4 linked regions of the Saccharomyces cerevisiae S288C genome follow. The protein of the gene in region 1 interacts with the protein of each later gene in a pairwise test. Each region holds a gene or a part of one and is shown in the gene's direction. Other genes may lie near its edges.

Region 1 (7,935 bases):
ATATATTGGAGGAAGATAAAACCAAGATTGATGCACTGCGTTTTGTAAATAGGTTCTGGGATTACCAACGTACTTCTTGATAAAATGGGCTATTTTTAAACGCTTTACTTTTTTTCTTCAGCGGAACCCGGTGGTTTTTATGATCTTTATACTTAATTGATGATTACAGTTTTGGAATCAAAAGCTTTATTCGGAATATTGTGCAAATATATTGTTGTTTTTATTGGATAATGGTGTCTAGATTTAACCAAGATATTAGATTTATTTCGCTTATAGCATCATTTTTTTTTTGATCAAAATTTTCAACTCTTTGAAAGTGCCATATTTCACAAAATATAACATTTGTCCCACGATTTAGAAAAATACCATAATCACTCTTCAACAATTTTATTTCTTTACTCTCCTACTACAGTTGCGTACATTTTAACTACACGTTTAAAATATTCAAGATTTATGAGACTGTCATCGAATGGTATATAAAATAAAAAAAAATTATATCTTAGAGTCCTAGTTTAATAGAAAGAATAAAAAAGGTCACGGAACATCACTTTCTAACATATCTTCCTGGGTTTCATCTTTACTAGAACTGACGGTCAAAGGTCTTTGGAGAGTACTCGCTTTTTTGATGAAAATCACGATAGTTAATTTTTCCGCCATGTTGTAACTTTCTCAAAACTGCAATTTCAGGGTGTCCAATTTACTGTCAATATGCAACCAAAAATATAACAAAGTCCTTTTGAGCAAATAAAGTCGGACATGACAGTACAACGCATGATCGATTATTAAACGAAAATGGGATATCATACTGTTTTAGAAGTTATTGGGTGCATTACTCTGTCATAAAAAAATCATGTTACTATCTATAAAAAATGCCTAAAAAATTGGATTACCACTTGTTATGGAAAGATCAGTAAAATATAGGATAACCATAGCGTAAGTCTGGCGTTCTGGAATATTTGTTTTTTAGTTATTAAACATACTTTTCACGATTCACAGTATTAATTTTTAGGAATGATAAAAAATGGTACATGCCCCTATTGGGAACGTGATGATCTTTCGGAATGTGCTAGGCGAGAATATATCGAGTTTAAATTTCCTCTATTTATATTGTTGACTGGTATGATATACGCGTTTTGCAAAGTCTTTCGAGCCTTTTATCTAAGGGGGAAAAATCATACAAATGAAGCGCCAGAATTTGAAGAACAAGGTAATGGAAACCACGAATATGCAAGGTTCTCAGTTTTAAGACTAAAATCTGCATGGGAAAGCCGTAGCTTTTGTAATGTTAATAATAGATCTACTTTCGACAAATTCAAAAAATTTATAGAGGGTGCCTTCATTGTTTTGCAGCTTACTATCCACCTGTATATTTTATCTAGTATGCCAATGGATAACAAAAAGTTCTTTCACCAAGGTTTTCTGGTTCAAATGTTTCTCTGGATTTTACTGCTTGTTGTTATTACACTTCGTTTAATTTCAGCAAGCCAGTCATTTCGGTGGGTTTTAGCATGTAAGCGTGATTTATGGGCTGTTTCGTTTTACTCATATGCATCCCTGTTTACTCTTTCGATTTTACCTCTTCGTTCCGTCTTCATTGGAAAGATAAAAGATAAAATTATGGTCAAATATATCATTTCCGAGACTTTCATTGATTTAGCGCTTTTATTATTATTATCAACGTCAAGTATAGAAGGAACTAGGTACTCATTTTTGGTTGAAAATGAGAACAAAAAGTTGCCACCGGCTCCTACCGTCTTTGGCCTTCTTACTTTTTCTAGGATTGATCGGCTTATTTGGAAAGCATACAAACACTGCCTTGGAAACGCTGATATTTGGGATTTGGATATTAATAATAAGTCTATAGCAATTTTGGCGAACTTTGAAATGTCTTCTAAAAAAGGAAGGCTCCTTCCAAACATTATTTGTTATTTTAAGGCTGTTTTCATCTCCCAATTATTTCTGGCTTTTGTATCTAGTTTTTTGAACTTTGTACCCTCATTGTTGATGCCAAGAATACTATCATACGTTAATGACCCAAAGTCAAAATCATGGAACTTGGTGTCTTTATACGTCTCATCTATGCTCGTCAGTAAAATCATTGCCACGACTTGTAGAGGTCAAGGATTGTTTTTAGGTGAAAAGGGTACTATGCAACTAAGAACAGTTTTGATATCCAATATCTATTCCAAAACCTTAAGAAGAACAATTCTAAAAGACTCAACAACGTCACTTCAAAAAAATGCGTCAACATCCTTTGAAGAAAATCCTGACTCTTCTGAAGCGGAACCTAGAAAAAAGTCTAGTAGGAAAGACAACTCTGTGAACAATGTTATGTCAATTGACGCTTTCAAGGTTTCTGAAGCTATGAACACTTTTTATCTGGCATGTGAAGCAGTTTTCATGACAGTTACGGCCCTAATGATACTATATTCCCTACTGGGATGGTCCGCCTTTGCTGGTACCTTTGCTCTTCTTGCCATGATTCCTTTGAATTTTTGGTGTGCAACTTTTTACGGGAACTATCAGGCCGATCAATTAATCCTAACTGACAAGCGTACCTCTGGGATTAGTGAGGCTCTGAACTCAATACGTGTAATAAAGCTACTGGCATGGGAAAATCTGTTTTATCAAAAGATTATAAACGTAAGAGATGGGGAAATAAGACTCCTTAAAAAGAAGGCAACAATTTTCTTTTTGAACCATCTCATTTGGTTCTTTGGGCCCACTTTGGTCTCTGCAATAACATTCTCAGTGTTTATTAAATTCCAAAATCAGACACTTACTCCTACAATAGCATTTACAGCTCTTTCTTTATTTGCAATATTGAGGACACCCATGGACCAAATTGCTTCGACTGTCAGCCTTTTGATACAGTCTTTTATTTCTCTTGAAAGAATCCAGGATTATCTTAATGAATCAGAAACAAGAAAATATGAGATTTTGGAACAAAGCAATACTAAATTTGGCTTTGAAGATGCAAGCATGGAATGGGAAGCTGCTGAAACAAGTTTTAAACTTAAGAACATTTCTATTGATTTTAAGCTGAATAGTCTCAACGCAATTATAGGTCCGACTGGGTCAGGAAAGTCTTCGCTATTACTTGGACTATTGGGAGAATTGAACCTTCTTTCTGGAAAAATATACGTACCTACAGTTGAATCCCGCGACGACTTAGAGATTGGTAAAGACGGAATGACGAATTCAATGGCATATTGTTCTCAAACTCCGTGGTTGATTAGTGGAACAATTAAAGATAACGTTGTTTTTGGAGAAATCTTCAACAAACAAAAATTTGATGATGTAATGAAATCCTGTTGTCTTGACAAAGATATCAAAGCAATGACAGCTGGCATAAGAACAGACGTGGGTGATGGAGGATTTTCCTTATCTGGCGGACAGCAGCAAAGGATTGCTTTAGCCAGAGCAATTTACTCCTCTTCCAGGTATTTGATCCTTGATGATTGCTTGAGTGCAGTAGATCCTGAAACTGCACTTTATATATATGAAGAGTGTTTATGCGGCCCCATGATGAAAGGAAGGACCTGCATCATTACGAGTCATAATATTTCTTTAGTTACGAAACGGGCTGACTGGCTTGTGATTTTAGATCGTGGCGAGGTGAAATCACAGGGTAAACCATCGGACCTCATTAAATCTAATGAGTTTTTGAGGGAAAGCATAAACAATGATTCAAAAAATACAACTCACAATCAAATTGACTTGAAAAGATCAACAACATCAAAGAAAACTAAGAATGGAGATCCCGAGGGAGGGAACTCGCAAGACGAAGTGTGTGCTGAAGTTGAAAATTTTGAGGAAACAAAAATGGAAGGATCAGTTAAATTTTCAGCTTACAAATGGTTAGCAGACTATTTCGGGGGACTGGGAGTTGTTTTTGTTTTCACCTCGTCCTCCATCCTTATTCATGGAATCACACTGTCTCAGGGCTTTTGGCTCAGATACTGGCTGGACACTGGATCTTCAGGGAGTAAGTCTACCTGGCTTTATAGAATAGTTGAGGGTCACTCTAACATCTATTTCTTACTGACTTATATTATCATAGGTCTTGTTTCTTCATTTTTAACTTCTGGTAAAGTTTGGATAGCAATAATTTCAGGTACCAACGTCACCAAGAAAATATTTGCGAAGCTTCTATCCAGTATCTTATATGCCAAGTTACGTTTTCATAATGTCACGCCGACTGGAAGAATAATGAACAGATTTAGCAAGGATATGGATATTATTGATCAACAATTGATCCCTAATTTCGAAGGACTCTCTTATAGCGTCGTTGTTTGTCTGTGGATTATACTTTTAATTGGATATGTTACTCCTCAATTTCTGTTATTTGCTATTCCTTTATGCGCTCTTTATTATACCGTATGTACGTTATATCTTCGTGCATCTAGAGAGTTGAAGAGAATAGATAACATCAATATCTCTCCAATACACCAGTTATTCGCTGAAGCCATCAAAGGAGTAACTACAATTAGAGCATTAGCAGATGAGCGTAGGTTTATCACTCAATCTTTGGTTGCAATTGACAGAAGTAATGCTCCATTTTTTTATCTCAATATGGCCACCGAGTGGATCACATATAGAGTGGATATAATTGGGACACTTGTTCTTTTTAGTTCTTCTGTAATGATCATAATGAAGGCCTCATAGTTGGATGCGGGGCTAGCGGGGATACTGTTATCGAATGCCTTTTCCTTTACTGAAACTGCTCAATGGATCATAAAAGTATTTTCAAGCGTTGAACTTTTGATGAGTTCAGTAGAGAGAATAAAAGAATATACAGATATACCTTCCGAATCAAACGGCTACATATCACCTCCAGCTAATTGGCCTCAAACAGGAGATGTTGAACTAAAAAACTTATCATTGCGCTATTCTCCTCATTCCTCTAAGGCACTAGATAATGTATCATTCAAGGTAAAAGCAGGAACAAAAGTTGGTATTGTTGGTAGAACAGGGGCTGGGAAATCTTCTATTATAGCGGCTATTTACCGGCTTTCAGACTGGGAAAACGGTACGATTACTATTGATAACAAAGACATAAAACATATCCCTTTAGAGCGTTTAAGAAATTCTATAAGCTGCATCCCACAGGATCCTACTTTATTTGATGGAACTGTTCGATCTAATTTAGATCCTTTCGATCGGTATTCTGATGTACAAATTTATGGCGTACTATCCAAAGTGGGATTAATTGAAGAATGCGATGAATTGTGCTTGATTTTTGAGCAAGAGCAGCCTAATTTTTCTAGTCATAAACTAAGAAATAGATTCATTGATTTGAATACTGTTGTGAAATCAGGTGGTTCAAACTTATCTCAAGGGCAAAGACAACTTTTGTGCTTGGCACGATCCATGCTTGGTGCACGTAATATAATGCTAATTGACGAAGCAACCGCCTCAATAGATTATATTTCTGATGCTAAAATTCAGAAAACTATAAGAGAAACAATGAAAAATACAACAATTTTGACTATTGCTCATCGATTAAGGTCAGTAATAGATTATGACAAAATTCTGGTGATGGAAATGGGCAGAGTCAAGGAGTATGATCATCCATACACTCTAATATCTGATCGAAATACCATTTTTTACCGCCTCTGTAGGCAGAGTGGCGAGTTCGAAAACCTTTTCGAGTTGGCTAAAGTCTCATTCGATAATAAAAGATAAGACAACTAGAATTTCCTATTTTTATTCATTCCAGTTCTAGCTACGAAGTATACGATCTGCTTACGTCATATATTTGTGTGTAATTAGAAGGCATTCAGGAAGTCGCTTTTAACTTTTCAGGGCTATATGTCCTAATCCACTACTTTTTTTGAGAACTTTAAGAAATAACTCCTTTGAACCTGTCTGTGCCAAACAAAATTTTGCTGGTACATTTTATGGTATATAAACAAGCTACGTTATTATTACTTTTTTTTGATAGTTTTACTTATACTAGAAAATAATATTATATCATCACAAAAGAAACTCTCTCGTTAAGAATCCCGAATATTCAGCAGGAGCAAAAAAAAAATACCATAATTTAAATGCTTATTCAGTACTTAGCTGCTGATTTTATCGCAAGTATACTATTGGAGAGTACCGTGGTTCATATCGTGCTATTTTTATCTATATTTAAATTTATAGAAGTTTATCGTAGTATACTATGTAATTCTCTGCCGTATTGGCGGCAAAGACAAAAGCACTGACAGTAAACAGTTTTTCTGATGAGAATTTATGTCGAGGAACAAACGAAAATTTTGCTGGCCAAATTTGCTTACGCCTTTAATGTGATTGCGGTTGAGGTCTGTTATTACGCAGCTGCTATCATGTGTCTATTTGAGATTCTCTTTACAGGTTATCGCTGCATTTTTGTCAAGAAAAGAAAAGAAGACAACCTTTTTCTTGCACTGCGATGAGTATATTCAGGCTCGCGAATTTTCCAGATTTCTTACTAAAGACACATCTTTGAACGCACCAGCATGAATTTTATGAACTACTGATCCATATATTAATAGGTTTTAAGTACATATAGAATACTTAAGAAATTACATTCCATTGCGATACACCTATTTGATTCTGATTGTGTTGAAGTCTGTATAAAAGGCGAAAAAAAATAAAATGAAAATAAGAAAATAACTGCGCTACTTGTCTTCTAAATTATCTTCTGGTGTATCGTCCTTTTTTGGTATGATTAATTTCTTATTGGATGAAAAACTACAAAACAAAAATCCTAAGGCATAAAACCCTAGATCCATCCAAAATACGTTCTTAATGGAGTCGCTTAAAATGTTTCCAATAGTCGAATGAGAACCGTCGTAGTTTTGAAGACGATACAAAATCATGTCATCAACCGTTTTTCCTTCGTAAGGCTCTAGATGAGCTCGTGATACTTTATTGTGAAAGGAGGCGGAAAAAACAGTGGTTGAAAGCACACCACCAAGAGTTGTACCTAATGACTTCATGAATGTATTGAAAGCTGTTACTTCAATAAAGTCCATAGCAGCTTCTGGACGATCTTTGGTAATTTGAAGCTGTGCACTCATGAGCGATGCTTGTAGAGCAAATCCAAGGGAAAACCCCGGTAATAGCAAAACACCAATTTGAGTTGACTTCGTGGACGTATTTGTCATAAGTGTCATAAGCCCTGCTCCAATTACCCCAAGAACGCCTCCAAATATTAAGAGTGGTTTAACTAAACCGAGCTTTTTGGTAATCACACCACTTGCAATGGCCGCAATAACGTTGGTAATAACGATTGGTATCAAGTGAAGACCGGCTTTCCATGCACTCGACGCAAATATAAGTTGGAAAAACTGGACAGAGTATATCATTTGCCCATTGTAACCGGTACATAATAGAAATGTTACCATGTTTACTATTATTATGGCTGGTTTTGCTACCAATCTTCTTAGAAGGAGAGGCCTGTAGGATATATTATCAGGTTCCGGGTTGAATTTATCGAATAGGAAGAAATCGTACACCAATGAAAAAATAAAAAGTAAGACACCCAAAACCAAATATGTGATGACTTGGCCAGAGTTCCAACTATATTTATTACCACCAAAGGTTAGCCCCAGTAGGAAAAGGACCAGCCCTGCAGAGCAGAGGGCAAAACCAAAGAAGTCAAACTTGAAGATTATGCCATTCATAAGTCTTTTAAAATTAACTTGGTGTCTGAACTTACTAAAAGTAAAGCTCGAGATTGTTCCTATAGCATCTTTAATTTGTTGAAGTATACCCTTATTCTCGGCCTTATAGGTGAGTAAAAACATAATAATGGCAAGACCACCGATAGGAAGATTGATATAGAAGCACCACCTCCAGGTAACATGGGTTGTAAAGGCACCTCCGATTATAGGACCAACGATAGCAGCTACAGCAAATGCACAACTTAGGATGGAAATCACCAATGGACGTGACCTTTCACCA
Region 2 (8,177 bases), on another chromosome or scaffold:
GCAAAATGAGATTAAGCAGCTTGGTAGTGATAGTAGTGACGGTCATAACAGCGAGAAGAAGGACACTGATGGCGCTGATGAGAATGTACAAATTGGAGAAGATTTCATGGAAGTGGATTATGAAGATAAAGATAATCCAGTGGATTCACGAAATGAAACAGACCACAAAACGAATGAAAATGGCGAGACCGATGATAATATTGAAACGGTAATGACACAGGAACAGTTTGTTAAAAGAAGGAGGGATATGCTAGAGCATATAAATCTGGCCATGAACGAATCGTCTTTGGCTTTGGAATTCGTTTCTTTGCTACTGTCGAGTGTTAAAGAGTCTACAGGTATGTCATCAATGTCACCATTTCTTAGGAAAGTTGTTAAACCTTCTAGTTTAAACAGTGATAAAATTCCATATGTTGCACCTACAAAAAAAGAATATATCGAGTTGGATATATTGAATAAGGGATGGAAGTTACAAAGTTTAAACGAATCTAAAGATCTCCTACGCGCAAGTTTTAATAAACTGAGTTCCATATTACAGAACGAACATGACTATTGGAATAAGATAATGCAGAGTATTAGCAACAAGGATGTTATTTTTAAGATTAGGGACAGGACTAGTGGTCAAAAGCTGTTGGCAATTAAGTATGGTTACGAAGACTCTGGATCTACCTATAAGCATGACAGAGGTATTGCTAATATAAGGAATAATATAGAATCACAAAATTTGGATTTGATACCCCACAGTAGTTCAGTGTTCAAAGGCACTGATTTCGTACATTCAGTAAAGAAATTCTTAAGGGTTCGTATCTTCACAAAAATCGAATCAGAAGATGATTACATATTGAGTGGCGAAAGTGTGATGGATAGGGATAGTGAAAGTGAAGAAGCTGAAACGAAAGATATCAGAAAGCAAATCCAACTTTTGAAAAAGATCATTTTTGAAAAAGAACTGATGTACCAAATAAAGAAAGAATGCGCTTTGTTGATTTCCTATGGTGTCAGTATTGAAAACGAAAACAAGGTAATAATTGAACTACCTAACGAAAAATTTGAAATCGAGTTGTTGTCCCTTGACGATGACTCCATTGTCAATCATGAACAAGACTTACCAAAAATCAACGACAAGAGAGCAAATTTAATGCTTGTTATGTTGAGACTATTATTAGTCGTTATATTCAAGAAAACATTACGATCGAGAATAAGCTCACCCCACGGACTGATCAATTTGAATGTTGACGATGATATCTTAATAATACGTCCCATTCTTGGTAAAGTTCGGTTTGCTAATTACAAACTGTTACTAAAAAAAATCATAAAGGATTACGTGCTCGATATAGTTCCTGGCTCAAGTATAACAGAAACGGAAGTTGAGAGAGAACAACCTCAAGAAAATAAAAACATTGATGATGAAAATATAACTAAATTAAATAAAGAGATCCGTGCCTTCGATAAACTATTGAATATACCTAGACGTGAACTCAAAATAAATCTACCATTAACTGAGCACAAAAGCCCTAATCTAAGTTTAATGCTCGAAAGTCCTAACTATTGTAACGCACTCATTCACATCAAGTTTTCAGCTGGTACGGAAGCCAACGCAGTGTCCTTTGACACAACATTTTCTGATTTTAAAGAAGTAGAGGACTTCCTACATTTTATTGTCGCTGAGTACATCCAGCAAAAGAAGGTGTAATATCCTGAGTCACTCCTTAAACCTACATACATTGCCATAGAATGCCATTTATTACTATATAAAGTCGCATACGTACAAAAGGACAAGATCTTATCTTCGAAAACAAGAATATGAAGGATTTAATAACATTGCCAGGTTAAGAACGGTGTAACAACAATAGAAGTAACACAACACCAATAGCAAACAAACCAACTACAGATATGACTTACACATTGGCAATTTTAGGCTGCGGTGTTATGGGCCAAGCACTTCTTTCCGCCATTTATAATGCTCCAAAGGCGGCTGATGAAACTGCTGCTGCATTTTACCCTTCCAAAATTATCACATGTAACCATGATGAACCTAGTGCACAACAAGTTACCGATCTAGTTGAGACATTCGACGAATCTCCTAACGGTATTAAAGTCGAAAGCACTTACGGTCACAACGTGAGCGCTGTCGAAGAAGCTTCTGTAGTTCTTCTTGGTACCAAGCCATTTTTGGCCGAAGAAGTGTTGAATGGTGTGAAGAGCGTCATTGGGGGAAAGCTACTTATTTCCCTGGCTGCTGGCTGGACAATTGACCAATTGAGTCAATACACTAGCACTGTTTGCCGTGTTATGACGAACACACCTGCCAAGTACGGATATGGTTGTGCGGTGGTGTCCTACTCAGCTGATGTTTCCAAAGAGCAAAAGCCACTGGTCAACGAATTGATTAGCCAAGTTGGTAAATACGTTGAGCTTCCAGAAAAGAACATGGATGCTGCTACGGCTTTAGTCGGTTCAGGCCCCGCTTTTGTTCTCTTGATGTTAGAATCCTTGATGGAGAGTGGGTTGAAATTGGGAATCCCATTACAAGAGAGTAAGGAGTGTGCCATGAAAGTTCTAGAAGGAACAGTGAAGATGGTTGAGAAAAGCGGTGCTCATCCATCCGTTTTAAAGCATCAAGTTTGCACACCAGGTGGTACAACTATTGCCGGGTTGTGCGTAATGGAAGAAAAGGGCGTCAAGAGCGGTATTATCAATGGTGTTGAAGAGGCAGCCCGTGTTGCGTCACAATTAGGCCAAAAGAAGAAATAGATTGCTTTGCGTGAAATGTATGTATGTTCGCTTTGTAGCCGTATATTATTTTTTTATTACTGACCTTGCATTTTTTCGTCATTTTCCCGTCGGTCCGATAATGAATCATCACGATGAATGACTACCCCATAATAATGACACTAATTGGAGCGTATAAAAGAAAAAAATTATATAAATGTGTTTGTAATGAGTAAGAGCAATTGATTCATTTGAAATGAAAATCAAAAATCAAAATTAAAATAAAACTAAGCAACCATGTCAAGCGGCAGTACTATTGTTTCGTCTGACAAGTCGGGGCGAACATTTAAGCATGAGGAAGAACTACCCAAGTTACCATTACCTAAACTCTGTGACACTTTGCAGCGTCTGAAGGAGAGTTTAGAGCCATTGTATTATGCTGATGGTTACTATCAACATCCTTTAGATCCAGAACAAATTGAGAAGCTGTCATCCATAATAAGAGATTTTGAAGAGAATCCCGTAAGTGAGAAGCTGCAATCTAAACTACAGAGCTACCATGACACTAGGGATTGCTACCTTGATGAATTACACTTAGACATCAATAACCAGACCTCCACTAGGGAGATTCAGGACGATGTCCTACCCAGGAATCCCTTCTTGGTTCTCGCAGATGACGCTTTGCCAAACATCACTCAAGCTGATAGGTCAGCCGTCCTAGTGCACTCTGCGGCCAGGTTTATTTCTGCTTTGAAACAAGATTTGTTGCCACCAGATATCAATGCCACCAATGGCAAACCACTGTCAATGGCTCCATTTCTGAACTTGTTCGGTACTACTCGTAGTCCTGTTTTTCAGCGCGGTGAGGTTGAAAATTTTGATTTGAACAAACCTTACACAGCATCTGATTTAGAAGACCCTGATTATTCAAGCGATGAGGACGATAACGACGAACCCACCCAAAAAGACTTTGATGACCGTAAAAGAAAACACGAAGAAGACATATTCACTGGCAATGGTATAACTATAAAAAGACATCCGGATAGCAAACACATCTTGATCATCTCCAGGGGCCAATACTATACACTGGAAGTACTTGATTCGACGAATAAAATTATATACACTGCTGCAGAATTAACCACAATTTTCAACCATATAATAAAAGATTCTTCTGGCATTGAAAAATCAACTGCGTTAGGTAGTTTGACCTCTCACTCTTTTAGAAACTGGAAATATGCAAGGAAGAGACTACAGAAAAGGTATCCTAATGAATTACATCGCATAGACTCTGCTCTGTTCGTGTTAGTGCTGGACGAATCACAAGAAGAAACTACCAATGATGGCGATGATACCGCTGATATCAGTCAAATGTTTAACAGGACTATCACTGAGCGAGACAAGAAATGTACTTCCGCCAATTGTAAGAGAGTGTTTTACGGTACTTCTATAATAAATAGCAAAGGCCATCAAGTGGGTTCATGTGTTTCTCGTTGGTATGATAAATTACAGTTAGTTGTCACTGCAGATGCAAAAGCCACAGTGATTTGGGATTCCTTCACATGTGACGGGTCAGTCGTGCTTCGGTTTACTTCTGAAATTTATACAGAATCAGTCTTGAGATTAGCTAGAGACGTTAACGCCGGTGACCCACAGTTTTCACTCTGGCCTAACGTGACACAAATGGATCCTGAAACTAAAAAACTGATGACGGCGACCATAAGTGCCGACGGCGGAGGCCCTTCTGAAATTGACCCTAAGTTGGTTGTAAATAAAATCGATTGGTCTTTCAGTAACATCCTGAACACACATGTCCATTTGTCAGAAACCAAACTAGCTGATCTGATTTCCAAGTATGATATTGTTCGCGCTTCTATTCCATTGGGCAGAAGGTCAGCTCAAAGATTAGGAGTCAAGCCCGATTCGATGGTTCAAGTAGCTTTACAAATAGCTCACTATGCTTTGTATGGAAGAATGGTGTTTGGATTAGAACCAGTATCCACACGTGGTTTCAAAAACTCGAGATCATCTTTTATTAACATTCAAAGTCAAGCGCTGTTGGAACTATGTCAATTGTTTATTTCTAGCTCCATTGATGGGACAGATAAATTAGACAAATTTATCCAAACCTGCGAAACACATAATAACATGGTTAAACATGCAAAGTCTGGGGTAGGTTATGAAAAACACTTCAATGCATTGAAATATCTCTTCAAATTTCATGACCATTTTGGTATCCACTTAAGTGGTGATGAATCATCTGCTGCGAAAGATCTTTTCGAAAATCCACTTGTTTTACCTTTCTCACAGCCTGAGTTGATTGTTGCCAACTGTGGTAATGCTGCTACCACGACATTTGGTATAACTCCTGCTGTACCTCATGGCTTTGGAATAGGGTACATCATTAAAGATGATCAAGTAGATTTGACCGTGACATCGCAATTTCGACAGGGTGACAGGTTAATGTTTATGTTAAGTTGGGTGTTAGGCGAAATTCGTTCCTACTGGAGGATGTCACGCGGCACTTCTCATAATAAAACTGGCGTGAAGATCAGTCCAGTGGTCGATAAATTGTATGAAATGGACAATGCAGTCAATAATCCTCCGAAACGTAACGGCCATACAGTCAATGGCTCCCGCAAAACATCTTCTTCATCACAGGTAAATTTGAACAGGTATGGCGGGTTTTTCGATTTGGAAGGCCACATTGACAGTAGGAATATATCTAAAACACCATCGATGAAGAATTTGCAGAAAACCTTCAATGGCTTGACCATGAGCGCAGACAATGATCATTCAAGTTCCGCAGTTTCCGTTCCCACAGAAAAGGAAAAATTAAATACAGGCCATGAAATTTTACAGATCCAACCGCGGGAAGTGGCAAGTAATGGGTTGGAAGCAGATGATGAGACAGATATTGAAATAGTTGCTGGCAATGCTGATGGCACATCCTCTTCGGCATCTTCAGCTACATCTCTAAATTCCAAGAAACGTAACGTCATCAACTCAAGATTCGATATTGATTTTGACCGCAGTCGTGTGGGTAGAAAGGTGGCGACCTTAGATCAATAAGAACGCTCTTTGTTTATCTATTTATTACTAGCATTATGCGTAAGCTTGGCGTGATGTGATATATACTTGTTATATGAAGTATATCAATATGCTTTAATTTATGCTTATTATTTGCTCTCATGTCAGTAACCCGGACCAGATTTGCCATTGAAAAAATTTTCATAGAATAGCCCGATGCTGATCATCAGTACAAAAGACAGAGATTTCATCTCGACCTGTACCAGGAGCTAAGCAAAGAGGGCGGAAAGAGCGTAATACACCGTTAACATCGCGCATTAGAGGTAGACATGAGTGACTTACAAGACCAAGAACCTAGCATTATTATCAACGGTAATTTGGAACCAGTTGGTGAACCAGATATCGTTGAAGAAACGGAAGTTGTAGCTCAAGAAACACAAGAAACACAAGATGCTGATAAGCCAAAGAAGAAAGTCGCCTTCACTGGCTTGGAAGAAGACGGGGAAACTGAAGAAGAAAAAAGGAAAAGGGAATTTGAAGAAGGTGGTGGTTTGCCCGAACAACCATTAAACCCTGATTTTTCAAAATTAAACCCACTATCCGCCGAAATTATCAACAGGCAAGCTACAATAAACATCGGTACCATCGGTCATGTCGCCCACGGTAAATCCACAGTAGTTAGGGCTATTTCAGGTGTCCAAACAGTCCGTTTTAAGGATGAATTAGAACGTAACATTACTATTAAGTTAGGTTACGCTAATGCTAAAATTTATAAATGTCAAGAGCCTACATGTCCCGAACCTGATTGTTATAGATCATTCAAATCTGATAAAGAAATCAGTCCTAAATGTCAAAGACCAGGTTGTCCGGGGCGTTACAAATTGGTCCGTCACGTTTCTTTTGTTGACTGTCCCGGTCACGATATCTTAATGAGTACTATGTTATCAGGTGCTGCTGTTATGGATGCTGCGTTACTGTTGATTGCAGGTAATGAATCTTGTCCACAACCTCAAACCTCAGAGCATTTAGCTGCCATTGAAATCATGAAATTAAAGCACGTCATCATCTTACAGAATAAGGTCGATTTAATGCGTGAAGAAAGTGCCTTAGAACACCAAAAATCCATCTTGAAGTTCATCAGAGGTACCATTGCTGACGGTGCTCCTATTGTACCAATATCCGCTCAGTTGAAGTATAACATCGACGCAGTTAATGAATTTATTGTCAAGACTATTCCCGTACCACCAAGAGATTTTATGATTTCTCCAAGGTTAATTGTTATTCGTTCATTTGATGTTAATAAGCCAGGTGCTGAAATCGAGGACCTGAAAGGTGGTGTTGCCGGTGGTTCTATTTTGAATGGTGTTTTCAAATTAGGTGATGAAATTGAGATTAGACCAGGTATTGTCACCAAGGATGATAAGGGTAAAATTCAATGTAAACCAATCTTTTCTAACATTGTCTCCTTATTTGCCGAACAAAATGACTTGAAGTTTGCTGTTCCCGGTGGTCTGATTGGTGTTGGTACTAAAGTTGATCCTACCTTGTGTAGAGCTGATCGTCTTGTCGGTCAAGTCGTCGGTGCTAAGGGTCATTTGCCAAACATTTATACTGATATCGAAATCAACTACTTTTTGCTACGTCGTCTATTAGGTGTCAAAACAGATGGTCAAAAGCAAGCCAAAGTCAGAAAATTAGAGCCAAATGAAGTTCTTATGGTCAACATTGGTTCTACCGCTACGGGGGCTCGTGTGGTTGCCGTTAAAGCTGATATGGCAAGATTACAGTTAACGTCGCCCGCTTGTACTGAAATTAACGAGAAGATTGCTTTGTCGAGACGTATCGAAAAGCATTGGCGTTTGATTGGTTGGGCAACCATTAAAAAGGGTACTACATTGGAACCCATCGCTTAAGGAACCAATAAAACCACTGCAAAGACAAAAATTTCATAATTAATCTGAAAGAAAGTGAAGATAAGAAACGGGCTAGGAGGAAGGGAAACTGACACTTCTGGTTATTGCAATATGCTCATATACATTGATGCGTAATGACATTGATGATCTTTATTCTCTTTTTATAACGTTTTCTTTCTTTTTTTTTCCTTCTTACATAGTATTCAACTGTATATTTAACATGTTTTACGTATTTTTAAGAAAAAATTACTAAACGCGATAATATTAAGCAAATATTTATCTCATAGTTCTCGAACTCATTTATTTCCCATTGATGCCATGAAAACCTCTCAAACCTTTATCGTCTAGTTACACCAGTAGTCAATAAACTGCCTTTCTTTTTTTACACCCAACATACTCTACACTAAATCTTATCGGTGGTTTGTACATGGAGACAATTGCACAAAGATAATGAAGCTCCAAAATTATTCAGTATCTATTGAGTATATATAACCTTGAAAAGGTTTTATTTTATATAAGTTCGCC
Region 3 (8,548 bases), on another chromosome or scaffold:
AGGCATATAAAAGCAGTCGTTCAATTCTTCCCAAAGGTTATCAAACTGAGCCTTGCATGCAAAGTAAAAGCCGCGGACATACTCGCGATTAAACAGTTTTCCACATACTGATACACCATCAGAAGAAGGTACCAAAGTTATTCTATAAGAGTCCTTCAGCGCGGTTTCCTGCGCTACTTCGTGGTACAGAATTTTGATCCATTTCCACATCGCAACGCCGTTGTTGTCATCAAATATATCTAAATCCCTTGCGGTACAAGCACAAGACGACACCAATAAAGCTTTCACGGCATCTAGTGTTTTTCTGAGTCTTCGTGGAGTGTTAGGACTGCGCAACTTACATACTTTCAAGCCATGCTCGTCCACAGAGGGAATAATGGGTTCTTCATTCGTAATGGATCGATCCTCTTCGTCACCAGCGCCACCACGGGGACCCGCCCCGAAATTGAGCGCACATGCTCGCAAGATAATATGCAAAATATCACCCAATCGGTCCTTTTTGTTCATCATATCGTTACATATCTGTGAAAAGTACTTTATCTCAGTGGGTTTACGTGGGCATAGATCACGCTTCAGCCGCTCTGTGTCGACTTTCTTTTCGCCAGGTAAACTTGCTTGGTATGCAGAAAAAATCGATAGCTCATCTACGTGTAGTAACAAAAACATGTAGGGTGCCAAATTGTATCCATATTTCCTTATGGTGCTTTTCTGAAGACCCCTTACAATAGGTGTGCCAGAAACAAAGTCAGTGAAAGTACGCATCGTAGAGCTGTCGTTCGGCCTGGCACTCGCTATTTCGTAACAACGTTCCAGGACACGGAAACTCAACTCATTATAGTATCCTCTGTTGAGGTAAAAAAGAGAAAGGGTATCGTAATCCTTTCTATTGAATTTCAAAGTATGCACTTGAAACAACGTGTAGACCATCAAGTTGATTTTCTTGGGAATAAGATACTTTGAAGGGATTGGTCCGCCCTGGAAATCTGGTTCGTCTTCAACAAACGTCAGGAACTTTTGTACATTTTTCCCGACCATGACGGAAACGACAATTTTTTCAAAAGACCTTTTCCTATCCATTGCACCAGTTCTGAATTTTACCACTTTGATTAGACCAGACTTTTCGTCTTCGTAGAATGACCGCACTTCCGTGGGGATCGATTCAAATAAAGTTATTGAGGGACAATGTACCAAGTCGTTTTTGTTATTTAGAGCCGACTCAAACTCGTCAAAGTTTGCTTTTTCAAACTTACGCCTATCGGAAACTTTCATTTTATTTTTGTAAGTTTCGAAATTAACAATAGTATGTTGATTGTTATGCTTTTTGACAAGAAATCCATCAATATAAACAAAAGATTGTCCAGTTTCCGTCTTATCATCATCTAAGAATGTAATAATTAAGCTATTGAGAAGATGCAGAATCTGCGCTATGCAGGTGCAAATCTCTAGCAGCAGCAAAGTAAATTCAGTTAGTAAGAAATCTCACTAAGATAAGCGACTGTCTGTCCCCTTCAAGCACAACATAGAAAGCAGAAGGATGTCTCATTCATCGCTTGATTTCCGGCCTGCAAAAATAAAGTAGTCGGTACGTACGTTCGTTTTCAATTTCCATGGTGCACAGTATCTTAACTATCTGCTTAGTCGAGGAGAACCAGGATTCTGTTCGTTGCTCAGCCGCTTCGTGGATATTCTCTTGGATACTTTAAATATGGACCTACGCTTAGCCTGCGCTTAGCCTACAACTTCTTCCGCTCTCGAAAAGACCAATATAATAGAAAGTTATAAATTACATTTCCTTATTAGGTATACGACCTCGCGCTTCGAAGTAGAGGAGCCCTTTTTGGCGTACCTACATATGGCGCGTCAGACAGACAAACTTCCCCCAAAAATGTATTACCCCGCCGAATAAGAAAACAGACCCATTCACCCACGACGTATCAAGTTACTTCCTTGGTGCAATGTCCCACTATAAAAAAATTCCTTGACGCTAGATCGTTGGACTAAAATCTGCGTCACAATCGCCTAAACAGGAAATATTGCCTATTTTCGTACAAGGTTACTTCCTAGATGCTATATGTCCCTACGGCCTTGTCTAACACCATCCAGCATGCAATACAGTGACATATATATACCCACACCCACACCCACACACCACACCCACACACCCACACCACACCCACACCCACACACCCACACCCACACCCATCACAACCCTAACCCTACCCTATTCTAACCCTGATGAACGTGTCTCTCAACTTACCCTCCATTACCCTACCTCCCCACTCGTTACCCTGCCCCACTCAACCATACCACTCCCAACCACCATCCATCACTCTACTTACTACTACCATCCACCGCCCATCATAACCGTTACCCTCCAATTACCCAAATCCAACTCTACTACCATTACCCTACCATCGACCATCTGCTACTCACTATACTGTTGTTCTACCCTCCATATTGAAACGTTAACAAATAATCGTAAATAATACACATATACTTACCCTACCACTCTAATCCCACTACCACATGCCATACTCACCTTCACTTGTATTCTGATCGGTCATACGTACACGGATGCTACAGTATATACCATCTCAACTTACCCTGCCATAACATTCCACTCCACTCCATGGCCCATCTCTCACTAAATCAGTACCAAATGCACCCACATCATTATGCACGGCACTTGCCTCAGCGGTCTATACCCTGTGCCATTTACCCATAACTCCCACGATTATCCACATTTTAATATCTATATCTCATTCGGCGGCCCCAAATATTGTATAACTGCTCTTAATACATACGTTACACCACTTTTACACCGTATACTAACCACTCAATTTATATACACTTATGCCAATATTACAAAAAAATCACCACTAAAATCACCTAAACATAAAAATATTCTATTCTTCAACCATAATACATAAACACACTCAATTGCGTATCAATACCACCATGACGTCATTAACTTAAATGTTCCTTAATACGTCATACCACTATGCTCTATTCCATATATTGTAATATAACTGTACTCTATAGTCATACAGACGCTTTTACTTCACCCCATCTTCTCATACTATTGTCATAGAATCTCACACTGACGCATGATTAAAACGAATAATTTTTACTGTAAGGGCTGCCATCCGCGCTCTATCCTTTTGTTTGCAATATTTATATACAGAATCTCAAAACAAGCGGGAGAAGTGCTAATTACCCAGAGGTCATGCATAATCTGAGTACCACCGTACCTCTAGGTTTTGCTTTGATCCGTTTTACAGTGACACCGAACATAAGGGGAAGCTATTGACATGGTATCGAAAGGTTGTCCACATTGGGAAGTAACTTGGTTCTATGAATCTTCATGTCAGATACGTAGGACAGACTCTTCCTGTGTAAATATTTGTGACAGCTACGTCTATTTTCTACTAGATGTTTACACAGTTTTGTCACAGGAAATCTACGCTTAAAATATGTATTTCATTCAAGCGGTAACCGCTGTACGAGCAGTGACATTGCTGGTCGCACCTTAAATGTAAACCAACGTTACGGCACACCGTGATGTACCCGCATTAAAGTTTTGTAAATTCGTTATTACGATTATCGAGTTGGCTAGATAGAAAACCGGAAATGAAATGGATGCCCTTTTCGAATAGCTGAGTTTCTTTGCCTAAAATAGCCCAATATTGTTTCCCTTTTTCTATCACGAGGTTACTGAGCCATTGCATGAACGCGCGCGCCTCGGCGGCTTTTTTTTTCTGCTGTGCTGTATAAAAGCGAAAAGCCAGAAGTTACTATCTCGAATAAAAAACCCCTCGAACTGCCATCTCACTACCGAAAATGAAAGAGAATGAACTTAAAAATGAGAAGAGTGTAGATGTATTATCCTTCAAACAGCTCGAATCCCAAAAGATTGTTCTACCTCAAGATCTTTTCAGAAGCAGCTTTACCTGGTTTTGTTATGAAATTTACAAGTCCTTAGCGTTTCGCATCTGGATGCTATTATGGCTACCACTTAGCGTCTGGTGGAAACTTTCCAACAATTGTATTTACCCACTTATAGTTTCACTTCTGGTCCTGTTTCTGGGACCAATATTTGTCCTTGTTATTTGTGGACTTTCTCGTAAGCGTTCCTTATCGAAACAACTCATTCAGTTTTGCAAAGAGGTTACTGAAAACACACCAAGTTCTGATCCTCATGATTGGGAAGTTGTTGCAGCAAATCTAAATTCGTACTTATATGAAAATAAGGCTTGGAATACTAAGTACTTTTTCTTCAATGCCATGGTCTGTCAAGAAGCGTTCAGAACAACCCTTCTCGAACCATTTTCTTTGAAAAAAGACGAAGCTGCCAAGGTTAAGTCATTTAAGGATTCCGTCCCTTACATTGAAGAAGCATTGGGAGTTTATTTTAGAGAAGTTGAAAAACAATGGAAGTTGTTTAATTCTGAGAAATCATGGAGCCCTGTTGGCCTGGAAGATGCTAAACTTCCCAAAGAAGCTTACCGATTTAAGCTTACTTGGTTTTTAAAGAGGATTTCCAATATTTTTATGTTGATACCATTCCTTAATTTTTTGTGCTGCATATATGTGTCACGGGGAATGTGCCTTCTATTACGCACCTTTTATCTCGGGTGGATTCTTTTCATGTTGGTACAAGGTTTCCAAAACATGAGGATGATCGTTTTATCCGTGAAAATGGAACACAAGATGCAGTTCTTGTCGACTATTATAAATGAGCAAGAAAGTGGTGCGAATGGATGGGACGAAATTGCAAAAAAAATGAATAGGTACTTGTTTGAGAAAAAAGTCTGGAAGAATGAAGAGTTTTTCTTTGACGGGATTGACTGTGAATGGTTTTTTAGCCACTTCTTCTACCGCGTTCTCTCTGCAAAGAAATCTATGCGGGCTCTATCATTGAATGTGGAACTATGGCCATATATTAAAGAAGCGCAATTATCCTGCAGTGAGGAGTCCTTAGCGTAAAGATAAATACAACTTTTTCAATTTATATATTTTGTAGTTTGTCAGCTGCGAATAACCAAAACGAGACTACTTTTTACCATTACAACCATTTTCTTTTTCCCTATTTCTCACTGGTTGACAGAAATCAGTGTGCTATCATCCTACCATATGCGCTAAACTTATTGTCTTTCTCCTCCTAGAGATGCTGTATTCCATGCATATTCTGAACGATGGGTTGGTGTTTTTATCAAGCAAGGTTAATCACATGGCGTGGCTTGCTCCACACATCAGTAGAAAACGCATACCGCAGCGGAATCCTTAAATAATAAGTGATTTTACTGTTCATCAACTACAATCGGACTCTTTCACAATTACCCTTCTTGTTTTCCACATTTACTGTTAAATGAAGGGATGTACAGAAGGCTTAGGAAAACCTGTGCTGAATACTGGATGGACACTGCATTCCCACAGTGAAACTTTTATAGATACACTGTCAGTTATTTTCGAACTTTCATCAAGTTGCTGAGTTTTAGTATCCCTTTGCCTTAGCTATATGTTTGAATGAGCAAAATATTTGCAATGTCTCTAGCTTTCTTGAAATATTGGTTTATATTGAGGGCTTGGTAAGATTTCAAATTTCACTTTGAAATACTCAGGAGAAAAATCATGCTCTTTTGATAATTTGGTGACTAAACATACATAAAACAGTTTAATTTTGGGTGGTAATGGCTGTGTGACTAGCTATAGAAAGAAAAAAATTAAAAAAAAAAAAAAAAATCAAGTAGTTCCTGCACTGCGACGTCCATTATAGCATTATGAATTGGTCCCTGATTTACGCATGCGATAAACTATTTTTAGCGCAGCCGCATATTATCCGAGAATAACTTCCGACATAAGAAAATTCGCAGAAAATAGATAAAAAACTGCTCTTGGCATTCTTCACTTCCTCTATTACACACTGTGTCATACCACAATCATCTCACAGTATGTATTTGTATGTTTATACATGCTATAACGTAAAACAATGTAGAATATATATCTAAATACCTCACGGTTTTAGTTTAGTGCAGCCCACATACTACTTTTTTCCTTTTGTTTTTTTTTATATTTCAAAGGTTAAACTCGCTTAGACTATGTCTATAATATAAAAAAAAAAATAGCTCTATTCCGTTTCTTTTATTCTATTTGATATTTCCATCACACTTTCATCTTAATCACGGATGTATACTGATAATAGGGTTGACTGCGCCTGTACGGATTACAGTGCCCTCTTCAATTGGAAAATCCAAGCTTTCAAGATGCGTAACTGTTATTCAAAGGATCCTCTAAGATAAAACACAGATCGGCAGATCCGAGAGTTGGCTTCTGTGCCTTGGGCTCAAATTCCTTTCCCACCTCATTCAAATTGATTTTTCTGACTCCAAAAAAAGACAAAGCCCTGCGATAGTTCCCGAATGTTGTAACATCAAAGCCAAGCACTCCTTTATAGAAGTCGCATGAACGTTGAATACTAGCAGCTGGTGAAACTACAGGGTCTAAACTAACTAGTATCCATATCGTTTTGAGAGCATTGAAAGTATACGGAGTACAAGCTGGGTTAGAAGGAATTTTTATCTTAACAGCAATGAAAATCAACTTTCTAGACTGAATCCCTCAAGAAAATTGCAAAAGACTAACCGATACTGGTTTAAAAGAGAAAGATGTCAAATATGCGGAGTTATACCATCAAACAACTTTGGACGGCCCCGAAACAAATGTCCGCAAAAAAGATCTTATTAAAGTGCATGGACACTATCATTTCTATAATACAAAATACTCCACCGCACAATAGTTTGTCGGGAAGTCATCAATCAATCTTGTACGAGCTTTACAAATAACTTTTTAGGATCGGTCCCCTCATAAAATTATATATAAATGGGTTAGTTTCCTTCTTCTTCTGTTAACATGAAGTTGCTTCGTACTGTTTTTTGCCTTGCTCCTCTTCAAAAGAATCAATCATGTCACAGTACGGATTTGTAAGAGTTCCTAGAGAGGTAGAAAAGGCCATTCCAGTGGTGAATGCACCTAGACCACGGGCCGTTGTTCCGCCTCCAAACAGTGAAACTGCTAGGCTTGTTCGGGAATATGCCGCTAAAGAATTGACTGCCCCCGTTCTAAACCACTCTTTGCGTGTTTTTCAATATAGTGTAGCTATCATAAGAGACCAATTTCCAGCATGGGACTTGGATCAGGAAGTTTTGTACGTCACCTGCTTACTTCATGATATTGCAACAACAGATAAGAATATGAGAGCCACGAAGATGTCATTTGAGTATTATGGTGGCATACTTTCAAGGGAGCTTGTATTTAATGCGACAGGTGGAAATCAGGACTACGCAGATGCAGTAACTGAGGCCATCATTCGTCACCAGGATTTGACTGGGACTGGCTACATTACCACCTTGGGGCTCATTCTGCAGATTGCTACTACGCTTGACAATGTCGGATCCAATACCGATCTGATTCATATCGATACAGTTAGTGCCATTAACGAGCAATTTCCAAGACTGCACTGGTTATCATGTTTTGCTACGGTGGTGGACACTGAAAACTCGAGAAAACCGTGGGGCCACACCAGTTCTTTGGGTGATGATTTTTCAAAGAAAGTCATATGCAATACATTTGGGTATAACTAAATAGGTAAGTTTCAATGAGGCGAGTTCAGAATGAACAGTGATGATCTCCTTTCTCCATAACTATACTATACGTCCCTTTTATTTACTGTAGTTTTTAAGAACAAATTCTCTGATGAACCAGTCGTGAAACCGTATATCGTTTTCTGCCAATTCCGGATGAAATGATGTCGCAAGAATATTGTTTTTTTGCTTAGCGGCAACAATTAGTTCTTGACCACCATTATCCTTCCCATCTAATTTGTACAGGACCTGCACATGTTCAGGATCCAGCACCTCTTCTATTACTGGGGCTCTTATAAAAGTAGCAGGAAAATCATTGCAGTGAGGAATAAAGTTTGAAAAGTCGCAAATCCGGGTAGAAGACTGAGCTTGTCTCCCAAATGCATTTCTTTTTACTTTAACCTTTAGTAAATTCAGCGTCTTGACCAGTTTTTCTTCGTTAGATAATTGTTGTGAAATATAAATCATACCTGCACAAGTACCCCAGGTTACCTTGCTTGGGTTGTGTACGAATGCGTAGAGATCGTCGTAAAATCCTGTTCTTTCTGCAATAAGGGACATTGCAGTCGACTCTCCCCCAGGTATGATCAATGCATCACATTGAGCTAGTTGATTTTTATCCTTCACTGTCATCACAGATAGTTTTTTTTCATAGAAATCCCTGTTTTCGACGATGCATTTTTCTACGTGTCGCACATGTTCAATGAACGCACCCTGTAATGCCAAGACTCCGATAACGACGGTCATTTTTGAGATATTACTCTTGTCTTGGCCCCAGCAACCGGGGTCATGGTAAGTGTGCTTGCTACTCAAACAGAAAAAAATGGGCTTTTATCAATGAATAACTTTTTTTTTTTGTAGCTGAATGATGAAAGATGGCTCAACTATTCTTACAGTTTCCAATAAAG
Region 4 (9,313 bases), on another chromosome or scaffold:
GAGTAAACCCGCCCACTAAGGACCACTGGATTCCGGACAGTAAGAGGAATTCTTGTCGTTACTGCCATAAGCCTTTTACCCTGTGGGAAAGGAAACATCATTGCAGGCATTGCGGGGACATCTTTTGTCAAGACCATTTGCGCCATTGGCTGTACCTGGACTCGCAGGCAAATTTTATAATGATCAACGAACTAAACAACGGTGGCATAAATGGCGGTGGCACTCTCTGTAAAATATGCGATGACTGTCTGGTCGAGTACGAGAACCTTTCAACCACGAACCATAACGCAAACACGAACGAGGATAACATAAACGTTGAGGAGGGCGAAGATGACGATAATGACAATAGGAAGAAATTACGCAATTACTACAAGAATAGGCAGATGAACGCTCTTTTCAGACCAAAGAAGGGCGGTTCGTCCCAAGAGCATGCCACGGTTGATCGAGACACAACAACGCCCATCCAGGTGAAGTCGAACGACGAAGAAGCAGATAATGAGAATACGGGGGGAGAACAAGAAGAAGGTAATGATGTTTTGGGCAGTGTTATCGGCTCTGTGCCTGCAAACTGGAATTGGAGTAGTTTCTGATGAACATTTTTTGCGAGACAAGCGAAGAGAGGATGTACACTATTGATGTATGACCATTATGTATACAATAAACTTAATATAATATGATATAATATAATATAATATATAACACTAACACTTTCCTGAGGATTTTCGGTATGGCGCCGAGCGAAATTTTAAAGAGAACAACAGAAACAGTCACCAAGACTTCTTCAATTAGGCAGCGCAAAACGGACACAACAGCAGTAAAGACAACCGGAATGGACTCGATTATACCGGCAGGCGTCAAGCTAGATGATTTACAAGTGATATTGGCTAAGAACGAGAATGAAACCAGGGACAAAGTGTGTAAGCAGATCAACGAAGCACGCGATGAAATTCTGCCGTTGCGATTGCAGTTCAATGAATTCATACAGATAATGGCAAACATAGACCAAGAAGGATCCAAGCAGGCTGACCGTATGGCCAAATACCTACATATCAGAGACAAGATTTTGCAACTGAACGATAGATTCCAGACTTTGTCTTCGCATTTAGAAGCACTGCAACCTTTATTCAGCACTGTACCAGAATACTTGAAGACTGCAGATAACAGGGACAGAAGTTTCCAGCTTTTGGAACCGTTGAGTACTTATAACAAAAATGGCAACGCCGTTTGCTCGACAGCAACTGTTGTAAGCACCAACCACTCTGCGGCCGCTTCGACACCCACCACAACTGCCACCCCTCATGCAAATCCCATCACACATGCGCACTCGCTTTCGAATCCAAATAGCACCGCTACAATGCAACATAATCCCCTGGCCGGCAAGAGAGGTCCAAAAAGCGGTAGTACTATGGGAACTCCAACCGTACATAATAGCACTGCAGCTGCACCGATTGCGGCACCTAAAAAGCCAAGAAAACCAAGACAAACCAAGAAGGCAAAGGCTCAAGCTCAGGCTCAAGCGCAGGCTCAAGCGCAGGTCTACGCACAGCAGTCGACTGTCCAGACGCCAATAACAGCATCGATGGCAGCCGCGCTACCCAACCCAACTCCTAGCATGATTAACAGCGTTTCGCCCACAAATGTTATGGGCACGCCGCTGACCAACATGATGTCTCCCATGGGGAACGCATACTCAATGGGAGCTCAAAACCAAGGGGGACAAGTATCTATGTCACAATTCAATGGCAGCGGCAATGGATCCAATCCAAATACAAATACAAACTCCAATAACACCCCGCTACAGTCACAATTAAACCTAAACAATCTAACCCCTGCTAATATCCTAAATATGAGCATGAATAACGATTTCCAGCAGCAGCAGCAACAGCAACAGCAGCAGCAGCAGCCTCAACCACAGTACAATATGAATATGGGCATGAATAACATGAATAACGGGGGGAAAGAACTGGATTCTCTAGACCTGAACAATCTGGAATTAGGTGGTCTGAACATGGATTTCTTGTGACTGGTGCATCTATGTATCCAAGATAGTAATTATCTGTATAATCTTCTATTCTTTATACCTTATTACCCGAAAGGCTTTTCTTTTTATTTTTTATTTTTTTTCACTTCTTGACCGTGGAAGAATGACTAATTTTACTATTTGTCATATAAGAATCATCGAGATTCTTACACTTTTTATGGACTGTAAACATCGATTGCTCCAAAAAGGGACATAGCACACCGACAGACCATGTCAGAACAACTCAGACAAACATTTGCTAACGCTAAAAAAGAAAACAGGAACGCCTTGGTCACATTTATGACCGCAGGTTACCCAACAGTCAAAGACACTGTCCCTATTCTCAAGGGTTTCCAGGATGGTGGTGTAGATATCATCGAATTGGGTATGCCCTTCTCTGATCCAATTGCAGATGGTCCTACAATTCAATTATCTAATACTGTGGCTTTGCAAAACGGTGTTACCTTGCCTCAAACTCTAGAAATGGTCTCCCAAGCTAGAAATGAAGGTGTTACCGTACCCATAATCCTAATGGGTTACTATAACCCTATTCTAAACTACGGTGAAGAAAGATTTATTCAGGACGCTGCCAAGGCTGGTGCTAATGGTTTTATCATCGTCGATTTGCCACCAGAGGAGGCGTTGAAGGTCAGAAACTACATCAATGATAATGGTTTGAGCCTGATCCCACTAGTGGCTCCTTCTACCACCGACGAAAGATTGGAATTACTATCGCATATTGCCGATTCGTTTGTCTACGTTGTGTCTAGAATGGGTACTACTGGTGTTCAAAGTTCTGTGGCCAGTGATTTGGATGAACTCATCTCTAGAGTCAGAAAGTACACCAAGGATACTCCTTTGGCCGTTGGGTTTGGTGTCTCTACCAGAGAACATTTCCAATCAGTTGGTAGTGTTGCTGACGGTGTAGTGATTGGTTCCAAAATCGTCACATTATGTGGAGATGCTCCAGAGGGCAAAAGGTACGACGTTGCTAAGGAATATGTACAGGGAATTCTAAATGGTGCTAAGCATAAGGTTCTGTCCAAGGACGAATTCTTTGCCTTTCAAAAAGAGTCCTTGAAGTCCGCAAACGTTAAGAAGGAAATACTGGACGAATTTGATGAAAATCACAAGCACCCAATTAGATTTGGGGACTTTGGTGGTCAGTATGTCCCAGAAGCTCTTCATGCATGTCTAAGAGAGTTGGAAAAGGGTTTTGATGAAGCTGTCGCCGATCCCACATTCTGGGAAGACTTCAAATCCTTGTATTCTTATATTGGCCGTCCTTCTTCACTACACAAAGCTGAGAGATTAACTGAGCATTGTCAAGGTGCTCAAATCTGGTTGAAGAGAGAAGATCTTAACCACACGGGATCTCACAAGATCAACAATGCTTTAGCACAAGTTCTTCTAGCTAAAAGATTAGGCAAGAAGAACGTTATTGCTGAAACCGGTGCTGGTCAACACGGTGTTGCCACTGCCACTGCATGTGCTAAATTTGGCTTAACCTGTACTGTGTTCATGGGTGCAGAAGATGTTCGTCGCCAAGCTTTAAACGTCTTCAGAATGAGAATTCTCGGTGCTAAAGTAATTGCTGTTACTAATGGTACAAAGACTCTAAGAGACGCTACTTCAGAGGCATTCAGATTTTGGGTTACTAACTTGAAAACTACTTACTACGTCGTCGGTTCTGCCATTGGTCCTCACCCATATCCAACTTTGGTTAGAACTTTCCAAAGTGTCATTGGTAAAGAAACCAAGGAACAGTTTGCTGCCATGAACAATGGTAAATTACCTGACGCAGTTGTTGCATGTGTTGGGGGTGGTTCCAACTCTACAGGTATGTTTTCACCATTCGAGCATGATACTTCCGTTAAGTTATTGGGTGTGGAAGCCGGTGGTGATGGTGTAGATACAAAGTTCCACTCTGCTACTCTAACTGCCGGTAGACCTGGTGTCTTCCATGGTGTCAAGACTTATGTCTTGCAAGATAGTGATGGTCAAGTCCATGATACTCATTCTGTTTCTGCTGGGTTAGACTACCCAGGTGTCGGTCCAGAATTGGCATATTGGAAATCTACTGGCCGTGCTCAATTCATTGCAGCTACTGACGCTCAGGCTCTGCTTGGCTTTAAATTATTATCTCAATTAGAAGGTATTATTCCCGCTTTGGAATCTTCTCATGCTGTTTATGGCGCTTGCGAATTGGCTAAGACGATGAAGCCTGATCAACATTTGGTTATCAATATTTCTGGTAGAGGTGATAAAGATGTCCAAAGTGTCGCTGAAGTCTTGCCGAAATTAGGTCCAAAGATAGGTTGGGATTTGAGATTCGAAGAAGACCCATCTGCCTAATGAGTAATATCTGATAAGGAACGCTTTTATTTAGCTTTTTAACTACATAGACGAATATAATATACGATCGGGATACATTAGCATATTCAGCTCTTTTACCTCTCAATTTGCTCAAGATTAGTATCGTGACCAATTTTAGATCATTTCGGTCAGAACAGCCACATTTTCGCGTAATTTAAAAGTTCAATTATTGTATGCGTGACACACTATATTAGCGTCAACTGTTAATAAGGAAGTAGTGGATAATAACGGTTCAGGTTGCTTCACAATGCTTATTTCAAAATCTAAGATGTTTAAAACATTTTGGATACTAACCAGCATAGTTCTCCTGGCATCTGCCACCGTTGATATTAGTAAACTACAAGAATTCGAAGAATATCAAAAGTTCACGAATGAATCTTTACTGTGGGCACCGTATAGATCCAATTGTTACTTTGGTATGAGGCCCAGATATGTCCATGAAAGTCCACTAATTATGGGTATCATGTGGTTCAACAGTTTGAGTCAGGATGGCTTACATTCGTTAAGACATTTTGCAACGCCTCAGGATAAATTGCAAAAGTATGGTTGGGAAGTGTATGATCCAAGAATTGGTGGTAAAGAAGTTTTTATTGATGAAAAAAATAACTTGAACTTGACTGTTTATTTTGTAAAGAGCAAGAACGGGGAAAATTGGTCAGTGAGAGTTCAAGGTGAGCCTTTGGATCCCAAGAGACCATCTACAGCATCTGTCGTATTGTACTTTAGTCAAAATGGTGGCGAGATAGATGGAAAATCTTCCTTAGCAATGATAGGTCATGACGGCCCTAATGACATGAAATTCTTCGGATATTCTAAAGAATTAGGCGAGTATCATCTTACAGTAAAGGACAATTTTGGTCACTACTTCAAAAATCCGGAATATGAAACCATGGAAGTAGCACCAGGAAGTGACTGCTCTAAAACAAGTCATTTATCACTTCAAATCCCGGATAAAGAAGTTTGGAAGGCTCGTGATGTTTTCCAATCTCTAGTTAGCGATTCGATACGTGATATACTGGAAAAGGAAGAGACAAAGCAGCGTCCTGCTGATTTAATACCAAGTGTTTTAACTATTAGAAATTTGTACAATTTTAATCCTGGTAATTTTCATTATATACAAAAGACATTTGATTTGACCAAAAAAGATGGGTTCCAATTTGATATCACTTACAATAAACTTGGCACTACTCAAAGTATTTCCACCAGGGAACAAGTTACGGAGTTGATTACTTGGTCACTAAATGAGATAAACGCGCGTTTTGATAAGCAGTTTAGTTTTGGAGAAGGTCCCGACTCAATTGAAAGCGTGGAGGTCAAAAGAAGATTTGCTTTAGAGACGCTATCAAACCTATTAGGAGGAATCGGTTATTTCTATGGGAATCAACTAATTGATCGTGAAACAGAATTTGATGAGAGCCAGTTTACAGAGATCAAACTGCTGAATGCAAAAGAGGAAGGTCCATTTGAACTGTTTACCAGCGTTCCGAGCCGTGGCTTTTTCCCACGTGGATTCTATTGGGATGAAGGTTTCCATCTTCTACAAATTATGGAGTATGATTTTGACCTTGCCTTTGAAATCTTAGCGAGCTGGTTTGAAATGATCGAAGATGATAGTGGTTGGATTGCTAGAGAAATTATACTGGGTAATGAGGCAAGGAGTAAAGTTCCGCAGGAATTTCAGGTGCAAAATCCCAATATTGCTAATCCGCCAACTTTATTGCTAGCATTTAGTGAAATGCTTTCTAGGGCCATTGAAAACATCGGCGATTTCAACAGTGACAGCTACCACCAAGTCATGTTCAATAGTAGGACAGCCAAGTTTATGACGAACAATCTAGAAGCCAATCCTGGCTTGCTAACCGAATATGCCAAGAAAATTTATCCTAAGCTATTGAAGCACTATAATTGGTTCAGAAAATCTCAAACAGGACTTATTGATGAATATGAGGAAATATTGGAAGATGAAGGAATATGGGATAAGATTCATAAGAACGAAGTTTATAGATGGGTTGGGCGTACCTTCACTCATTGTTTGCCAAGCGGTATGGATGACTATCCTAGAGCACAACCACCAGATGTAGCAGAATTGAACGTAGACGCATTAGCATGGGTGGGCGTTATGACAAGATCCATGAAGCAAATTGCTCACGTGTTGAAGTTAACACAGGACGAGCAAAGATATGCACAAATTGAGCAAGAGGTGGTCGAGAATCTGGATTTGTTACACTGGAGTGAAAATGACAATTGCTACTGTGATATTAGCATCGATCCAGAAGACGATGAGATTAGGGAGTTTGTATGTCATGAGGGTTACGTCTCCGTATTGCCCTTTGCATTGAAGCTAATCCCCAAAAACTCACCCAAGCTAGAGAAAGTAGTTGCTTTGATGAGTGACCCAGAAAAAATCTTTTCAGACTACGGGCTGTTATCACTATCGAGACAAGACGACTATTTCGGCAAGGATGAAAACTATTGGAGAGGCCCAATTTGGATGAATATTAATTACTTGTGTCTTGACGCAATGAGATACTACTACCCAGAGGTGATTCTCGACGTGGCTGGTGAGGCTAGCAATGCCAAGAAACTGTACCAAAGTTTAAAGATTAATCTCAGTAACAACATATACAAAGTTTGGGAAGAACAAGGTTATTGTTATGAAAATTACAGTCCGATAGATGGTCATGGTACTGGTGCTGAGCATTTCACAGGCTGGACAGCACTTGTTGTCAACATCCTTGGACGCTTCTGAATCTATGTAGATATTTTCAGTCATATAAACAGATATGTAACCAGATATGTACCAGTATGCAGGATGAAAATTATAAATGTTCCAGCTATTCGAAAAGGGCCTCGCATCTCTTAGTTAGAGCCAGCATTTTCAGCTTTTTTTTTCTCGCGTTTATTTACATTTCGATGCGGCTGTGAGAAAAAGTTAAAAAATCGTGGAAACCAGCAACTGGTAACTAGCAGTCTGGGCCATTGCAGCTAAAAGCCAGACAAATAAACAATCGAAAACACACTCGAAACATGCATTATGAAATGTCACATTTTTTTTTTTCTTTTGGGGATTAATGGTTGCGAAGTGAGGTCTTTTCTATTTACTGCGGTAAGATGAATAAAAGTTAGGGAATGTTATTGTTTACAAGCTGGATACTAGATCTCAAAATGTTAAAGTGTAAGGACTGACAACAAAATATGCTGCACCGAAAACAAATTAAGAATCTGAGGAGGGACTATTTAAGTGGAAAGAAAATTGAAGTTCAATGATCGTGTTTTCCTTCTGCTTATCCAAATACACTGTTATATATTAAGGCAACAGTACTATAATCGTCAGTTACGCAACAAAGACAGTCCACTCTTTTAGAAGAATAAGCCTTTACTGACATACCTCCACTGTAATAAATCTATTCTATTCTCTGTACTGTTTATCGACTTATTATTACGCTACACTCATTGATATAATATCTAATAGAAAACCATCATGATTTCACCCATAAGCTTTCTATCATCGCTGCTATGCTTAACTTATCTAACCTCAGCTTTACCGATTCTTCCTAAGAGAGAAGTTGTAACGAGAGTTCACACAGCAAGCACAACTAATGTTGTGACTGATTTTTACTCCACTACTACCGAAGTTGTTATTGCCCCAACTGTCGAATTCCTAATAAGCGATAGTGTTACCTTTACAACAACCTTAATTCCACAAGGTGTGAACCCAACAGCTGAACCAACTACGACTATCACTAAAGTTCTCTTAAAAAAGGCTGAAATGAGTACATCTTCGCAGCCAACCTCTACTTTGCAGCCAAGCACTATTCCACAATCAACCTCCTCTTTTCAAGCAGAATCTACTTTGCAAGCCGTCTCTACGCAACAAACTGCTATGTCTGTTTCTGCAGGTACTAGTGAGGATGTGCAACAATTAGCTACTACTTCTACCTCTATCTCCTCCTCTCCTTCCCCTACCACTACGTCTACTTCCACACAAAATATCGTGAGTGGTGTCGGTGAAGCCAATGTTGAAGGCAACACTCAAAGTCAGCATCATTCTTACCAAGCAGCTGCGACTTCAACTTTGAATCAACAAACGAGTACCTCAATTGCTTCTCAGGAGTCCACCGAATCAACCAATACACCTACGTCGTCCTCTACGTCGTCCTCTACTTCTTCTTCTACTTCTTCTTCTACTTCTTCCTCTACTTCTTCTTCTACTTCTTCCTCTACTTCGTCCTCTACTTCGTCCTCTACTTCATCCACACAGGAAACAGCCGCTACCACCTCTGAAGGTTCCTCTAGTAGCAGCGCTGCTATAACTTCTTCTCCAAAGGCTATTGCATATTCACCATATAATGATGATGGCTCTTGTAAGTCTGCAGACGCTGTCTCTTCTGACTTAACGTTGATCAAATCTAAAGGTATTTCCAAAATCCGTGTTTATGGCACCGACTGTAATTCCTTTGAAACCGTCCAACCAGCAGCCGTAAAACTAGGTATTAAGATTAACCAAGGTTTGTATATCACCAGTAGCGGCGTTGATTCCATAGATGATTCTGTTACCACATTGATTCAATATGGTCAAACTAACGGTTGGGATGTCTTTGATTTCATTACTGTTGGAAATGAAGCTATCAATAATGGTTGGTGTTCAGTTTCTGATTTGATTAGTAAAATTTCCTCTGTCAAATCCAAATTAAGCGAAGCTGGCTATTCTGGCCAAATTACTACCAGTGAGCCCCCTGTCTCATTTGAAAATAACCCTGATTTGTGCAAAAAATCTGATATTGACTTCGTTGGTATCAACCCACATGCCTACTTTGATACTAGCGCCAGTGCTGAAACTGCCGGTACATTTGTTAAGGGTCAAGTTGAATTAATTCAAGGTGTTTGTGGTACTTCTAATGTTTTCGTCACGGAAAC

The links.
Region 2: the proteins of YKR104W (region 1) and PRO3 interact in a protein complementation assay, tested with the Saccharomyces cerevisiae proteins (one large-scale study listed by BioGRID).
Region 3: the proteins of YKR104W (region 1) and COS1 interact in a protein complementation assay, tested with the Saccharomyces cerevisiae proteins (one large-scale study listed by BioGRID).
Region 4: the proteins of YKR104W (region 1) and TRP5 interact in a protein complementation assay, tested with the Saccharomyces cerevisiae proteins (one large-scale study listed by BioGRID).

Annotation. Positions count from the first base shown.
Region 1 is NC_001143.9:652,069-660,003, forward strand, and holds YKR104W (uncharacterized protein), read left to right. Parts: upstream 1-4,767; coding exon 4,768-5,688; downstream 5,689-7,935. Other genes in the region: putative multidrug transporter NFT1, read left to right, coding at 1,012-4,668; VBA5 (basic amino acid transporter), read right to left, coding at 6,648-7,935.
Region 2 is NC_001137.3:199,183-207,359, forward strand, and holds PRO3 (pyrroline-5-carboxylate reductase), read left to right. Parts: upstream 1-1,893; coding exon 1,894-2,754; downstream 2,755-8,177. Other genes in the region: SRB4 (Srb4p), read left to right, coding at 1-1,693; carnitine O-acetyltransferase YAT2, read left to right, coding at 3,010-5,781; GCD11 (translation initiation factor eIF2 subunit gamma), read left to right, coding at 6,069-7,652.
Region 3 is NC_001146.8:4,490-13,037, forward strand, and holds COS1 (Cos1p), read left to right. Parts: upstream 1-3,840; coding exon 3,841-4,986; downstream 4,987-8,548. Other genes in the region: YRF1-6 (Y' element ATP-dependent helicase protein 1 copy 6), read right to left, coding at 1-1,442, 1,591-1,609; DDI2 (cyanamide hydratase), read left to right, coding at 6,963-7,640; SNO2 (putative pyridoxal 5'-phosphate synthase), read right to left, coding at 7,719-8,387.
Region 4 is NC_001139.9:441,474-450,786, reverse strand, and holds TRP5 (tryptophan synthase TRP5), read left to right. Parts: upstream 1-2,251; coding exon 2,252-4,375; downstream 4,376-9,313. Other genes in the region: PIB2 (Pib2p), read left to right, coding at 1-590; PGD1 (Pgd1p), read left to right, coding at 830-2,023; CWH41 (mannosyl-oligosaccharide glucosidase), read left to right, coding at 4,644-7,145; SCW11 (putative glucan endo-1,3-beta-D-glucosidase), read left to right, coding at 7,878-9,313.